Xenopus tropicalis: one gene and its partner. The protein of the gene in region 2 purifies or fractionates together with the protein of the main gene of each other region. This does not show direct contact. Links are inferred from orthologs where the notes say so. Each region holds a gene or a part of one and is shown on either strand. Other genes may lie near its edges.

Evidence for each region.
Region 1: the proteins of jup (region 2) and dsg2 purify together in Homo sapiens (affinity purification with western blotting; 3 studies listed by BioGRID and IntAct, with this or other methods). This does not show direct contact. The link is inferred for Xenopus tropicalis from reciprocal best matches to the Homo sapiens genes JUP and DSG2.

Annotation. Positions count from the first base shown.
Region 1 is NC_030682.2:111,631,965-111,635,805, forward strand, and holds part of dsg2 (desmoglein-2), read left to right. Parts: coding exon 1-5; intron 6-628; coding exon 629-766; intron 767-3,542; coding exon 3,543-3,698; intron 3,699-3,841.
Region 2 is NC_030686.2:7,419,791-7,422,343, reverse strand, and holds part of jup (junction plakoglobin), read right to left. Parts: intron 1,855-2,553; coding exon 1,815-1,854; intron 817-1,814; coding exon 674-816; 3' UTR 659-673; intron 1-658. UniProt on the Homo sapiens protein: Common junctional plaque protein. The membrane-associated plaques are architectural elements in an important strategic position to influence the arrangement and function of both the cytoskeleton and the cells within the tissue.

The DNA of each region.
Region 1 (3,841 bases), on a different chromosome or scaffold from region 2:
TAGAGGTGAGTAGCAGAGGATTGTTTTCTAAGTATTTGTTGTTACTGATTTGTTACAGGATCATGTAGTGATGTAGTTCTTTGTTTTGCGCTATACATATTATATAACTCCTTTCTTGCAATTATATGTTGTTTAATGCTGGATGTTGTAGTCCAGGCACATCTAGGGAATCAAGGTTAAGAAAGACATGATGCGCATCACTGCCTCCCCTGTTATTGTGTTCTGCAGCACATTTTTAGCAAAGTTATCAAAATACTAAGTCAACCGAAGATGCAGCGACACAGCACTTGTTTATGCACATTTGCAAAAATAATTTAGAAATAGTTATTTTTAAACCCACTAAACTGACACACTTTTGACAAACCTCCAATGTAAACTTAACACTGGCATCTACTTTCTGTTGTTTAATGCAAAGCTTCAAAGGTTTTACTATGCTGTTGGGAAACTATCCAATAACCCCTTGTTAGCAGGTTGAGTTACAATAGTCTGCCAGTAGGCCACTTGAACAGGCTGGGAGCCATTAAAAGCTCAAAGAGGGCCTTTATTTTGATTGCCCTGCTCTAGTGTATACGGAATTCTCTATATAGATGCTTTTACATTACGCCTTGGTTTTTTTAATTTCTAACAGGTAATAGAAAGAAGCAGAAAAGGAGATGACAAAAAAGCTGTTTCTACAAAAGTAATAAGATACAAGCGAGAATGGATTATACCACCTGTGACAATCACAGAGGAACAGGATAATTCTTGGAGGAACCCAATAGCAAAAGTAAGTGATCCTGGAAATGAGTTGTTGCATGAAATTGTAGTAAAGTCTCTCTGAATAAATTTACACACTTAATCTAATTCTCAACAGCCAATCATTTCCTAACTAGATTTTTAAGGGCTATGAACCATCTAGCTATTCTGGGCTTTGTTGACCATGCAATGGATAGCTCCTTTGGTGGGGGAAATAACATTTGAAATCACTCCCCCAATCTTCCCCTTTATTTAAAGGACAGTTGCAGGTGTACTCATGTGTCAGGCGACTTTAAATAAATGTGGAATGTGGTTTTGTTCACCCACAGAGCTTTTACTTGTCTGGCCAACAAAACACCCAGAATTACTAGGTGTGCCAGTGCCCTTCAGGTGCACTTTAAGAGATTGTACAACCTTTGACCATAACCCCCCTCCCCCCTTCCTTTGCTCTTTGTTGCACACAACAACATGCATTTTTAAAGTAATACAGTAATGGGAAATCATGTTTTTTTTTTTGGTTTTTTTTTAAATGCATCAGTTAAAGGAAAGTAACACTAAAAAATTTTAAGTAAAAAAATCTATTCAACCCTGCCCCAATAATTGCCCTATCCTGCACACCATTTATTATTTTGAATGCTTTATTAGAAAATACCTGCTAAAATTTGGCTTCCGGTCATTTGAAATAGGGCGATACGGCGATGCAGGGAAGAATCCACTAAACGACGATCGATTGATCGATTCTAGCGCGACTCCTTCCTATACAGAAGGCTAGAATCAAACAATTTTCCTTTAATAGAGCTTCTCCAGCAGAATCCTGCATTGAAATCTGAAACAGATTTTCTTATGTTTCATTCGGAAATTTCACATGTGGAAATTTCACAGGGTGCCACAGCCATGTGACCTGTGCTCTGATAAACTTCAGTCACACTTTACTGCGCTGCAAATTGGAGTGATATCACCCCCCTCCCAGTAGCCGATCAGCACAACAATGGGAAAGTAGCAAGATAGCAGCTCCAGAATAGCACTCAATAGTAAGAAATCCAAGTCCGGCTTGGGAACCTTCAGTTACATGGGGGTAGGAGAAACCGTAGGTTACCTGTAAGCAGTTCTAATGTGTAGTTCTGGCCCTTTTTGAAAGCTCAGACTCAGGCACAATGCACTTAGATTGCTGCCTACACACCAATATTACAAATGTAAAAAATACATTTGTTTGTTCAAGAATAAAATTTTAAATGGTACAGTGAATTATTTGCTATGTAAACAGTGTAATTTAAAAATATAAAAAGTATACCATAAAACCATGACAGTATCCCTTTAATCAATAAATGCAGTATGGGGATTGAATGAAATGCTGGAAAAACAAGGCAGGAGGGGGCGGGACTTAGTACCTACTTTGCTTATAGACTATGACAACAATGTTTCAGCACACATAATTTGCTTGAATTAGACCTTAAAGGGTGCATGCAGTAGGATTTGTTCGCCTTTGCATAACTTCCACTTCAACATTTACAAGGATTGCAGCACTCCCATTCTGAATCTGTGCCATATGTGAAATAAAGGGGATTTTACTTCTATGGAATGGAAGTTCTGCAATCCTTGTACAGGTACATTTTCCAGAATGCTTGGGGTAAAGGGTATTCCGGATTAGGGATCTTTCCGTAATTTCGTAATAAAAAAAAAATCAATAAATTAATTAAACCCAATAGGATTGTTTTGCGTCCAATAGGAATTAATTATATCTAAGTTGGGATCAAGTACAAGGTACTGATTTATTATTACAGAGAAAAAGGAAATCCGTTTTTAAATTCTGAATAATTTGATTAAAATGGAGTCTATGGGATTTCTGTAATTCGGAGCTTTCTGGGTAACTGGTTTCCGGATAACTGATCCCATACCTGTAAATGTTTGTTTATACACTGAAAGCAGAAAAAAAATGTTCATTTCCATGTTTTACAGAAAGTCAAGGAAACATAGGAAAAGCCTTCATACCTCTGCTACAAAATCAGGTCTTAATAGTCACCTCTGCTTGGTGACTATGGTTTTAGAGAACTGATTGATTGTAAATTCATTGGCTGGCCAAACTGAATGTAGACTAAAACATAGAAATTGTCGTTTTGTGATGAATAAATCCACAGCAGAGAGCTATGCACTTTTATGTTGAGATACTGCTGGCACTTTCATCCTGTGGTGAACACAGTTTCAGCAATGTATGCATCACACTGGGGGCAACAATGTTATTTGTACAGGTCTTGCATAACATTTTATACAGCTTGCAGTCTTAAAAAGAAGGTACAGGTATTGGACTCCTTATCCGGAAACCCATTATCCAGAAATTTCAGAATTACGGACAGGCCATCTCCCATAGGCTTCTCTGTAATAAAAAAACAGTAACTTGTACTTGGTCCCAACTAAGATGTAATGAATCCTTATTGGAAGCAAAACAATTCTTTTGGGTTTAATTACTGTTTAAATATTTTTTTTGTAGACTTAAGGTATGAGATCTGAATTATGGAAAGACCCCTTATCCGGAAACCCCAGGTACTGAGAATTCTGGATAATGGGTCCCATACCTTTAATAAATTATGATGGTTTCCATTTATTCCGTGGAGTCCTGTATGTAGGGTATGTTACTGCTGCACATATTGTGATAATTTATAGTACATTTATACAAAACTTCTGGTTATGAATCTCTTAATACATTTACTGCTAACTTTTATACTAGTTTTTTTACACTGTACTTATTTTAAATGGAAAATCTGGAGAACAAGATGTGTGATACTCCTAATTACTTCTAATTTCACTAACAGATTCAATCAGATTATCAGATCGACAGGAGAATTACATATCGCATTGAGGGTATGGGGGTGACAAAACCTCCCCTTGGCATTTTCATTATCAATGAAAGGACTGGGGAACTGAACGTAACAGGAATTGTGGACAGAGAAGAAACGCCAATGTTCTATGTAAGTTTAATTTGATCAATCATATTGTAATTAGGGGCATAAATATCCTTTGAAGGACATATGAACCACATGAATATATATGAAAAGCAGTGAAGGCGCCATGAAACAGAAAGGAAAAGGACTAAATGTCTACTAAACACTTT
Region 2 (2,553 bases):
AATTAAATATAAAAAAATCTGTTTGCTCTTTTGAAAAACAGATTACAATGCAGGATTCTGCTGGAGAAGCTCTATTAACTTATGGGTTTTGAAAACACATGTTTTCCCATGACAATATTCATTTAAATGCATGGCCACCTTTACGTGGCTTTCTATACCTAATCTACAGGTTTATCAGCCTGCTAATTTGGATTAAAGTTTGCATTGAGAAGGGTCAGAAAAGTGATTTCATTGCATAATTAATTAGATATAATTTATTTTTATTGTATCCCCTTGTTGATGTTTTTGTTACACTATTTAGCTTTACTGTAGATTCTGCGTTCTGCCACTAGGTGGAGCAGTGGGAACGAAGTAGAGAAAGTATTCTGCTAAAATAACAGTGCTTCAAAGGCCTAAATGTACTATTAAATATAAATGGCGACACAGCAGTGAACTCTGGTCTTTTTCTCTAGATTAATCCTCTGTGACTCCCACCCCTGCTCTACGCTGGATGAGAAAGCACAGGGCTAAAGAAGGAGGCACAGGTAAGCAGCACTATGTCACTGGATCAATTGAACACACAAGCTCTTGCTATCACTAGTGGCAATGAAGACAAATGACCTGCCTATACATTCAAAAGAGCTTGCCTGCAATATAGCAGCAGAGTGCCAAGCAGTACCTTGTGCAAGAGGATTTATGCCATCATGTGGTTATCAGAGTAGCCCCCCCTGACTGGGTGGTCACTGTAGCCATCCATTGCATACTCCACATCCATATCTCCTCCCATTGGTTCTAATGGAATATCTTCAGGGTACATAGCTCGATAATTTTCCATTTCTGCAAAGGTAAAGAACACCATTAGATTCAAATATATATGTACTTTCAGTGATCCATTAATGCTACCTTGGCCCAGAGCTTTAAAAGAGATAAACCCCATTGATGAATATGTCTAAAAAAGCCATATTTTATAGAATTAACTGACTGCACTAGCCTAATGTTTCAGCATCTCTATAGTAGCAATGATATAGGTCACAGGAACTCCCCATCTTGGATTCTGTTAGAACTCTCCAGTATAGTGCATATGCTCAGTGAGTTCTAGCAGAAAATAAGGCTGGTCTGTCATATAAACTGATGGTACAGGGCTGACTATAAAATTATATTGCTAATTGCACGGGTTTCTGGTCTTCAATGAATTCATTATCAGTATTAATTACTAATCAGCCTCGTATAGTGACATTTATATTCTGTATATACAGTATATTGTGGGTGAGTCCCTAAGCTCAGGTAAGTGACAGCAGCACAGAATATGTGCTGGGAATCAGCAGAAAAGAATATGGGGGGGCTACTGGGGCATCTTTGGGGGCACAGATCTTCCCTGCTAAAGGGAATATACAACATTTCTGCCCTACTGCTTTAGTTAGGCTTTAGTTCTCCTTTAACAGAGATAGTGTTATTCTTCTTAAAGCTTTGTTTCCTCACTCAGGGGCTCAAACACATCTGACCCAGTATATCTGGGGTGCCCAAAAGCCCTACACATTTTGTGTAGGACTGCTTACCAATTGGACAGGAGGTTCAAAGTTAACGCTCCTGGATCCCGTCCAATCAGAAAGCAGTTCATGCACATACAGACATTTTTTTGCCAATCACGTTGTGGAAAGTTGTGATAAGATGATCTGGGGGCCCCCAATGCATTACCGCCCCTAGTCCCCTATTTAGTATTAATCCAGCTCTGCCCACAATGAATTTAATGTAAAATGCCATTGTAAGTAACTGCATGTGCATTTTACAACATAAATGGTATTTTGCCGTTCTACAACAATGTTCAGTTCACTTACCATCTGGATAAGGATCATTAAGAGGAATCATGCTCTGCGCCTGAAAATGAAAACACAATTTTGCATGTAATGTGAGTAATAAATTGGTAAGAAGTCACAATTCTGCTGATGAAAAGCCAAAGAAAGAGATGATCCCACAGCAAGTGGGTGGCAAATTATCATTGGGAATAATGATCAGATGTATAGAATCTTTCATTCTCTGCGTTATTGAACCCTGCCAAACTCTAAGGGTTAAATGCAGTGTGCATAAAGGGGATGTAAATGCGCACTTCAGCAGTTTACATACATTTTCCAGGCTTTCAGCAGCTCTCTCTGAACTTTCTATGCACCGGTCGGTTAACTCTAGGGCTGCCAATTCTCAATTAACGTTAAGCTTTCAGTATGTTACAAAATGGATAATTCTAAGCAACTTTTCAATTGGTTATTTATTAATTGATTATTTAATCGTTTTTTAATTATTTGCCTTCTAACTCCTTGCAGCTTTCAAATGGGGGTCACTGACCCCGGCAGCCAGAAAACTATTGCGCTGTGAGGCTCCAGTTTTGTTGTTATAAAAAGTAACTTATTTTACTATTCAGGTCCTCACCTACTCATATACCAGCCTCTCATTCAAATCAATCCCTGGTTGCTAAGGTAATTTTGACCCTAGCTGCTGAAACTCAAAACTAGCGAGTTGCTGAAAAAAACCTACAAATAAAAAATGAAGACCAAATGCAAAGTGTCTGAGAATATTGCACTC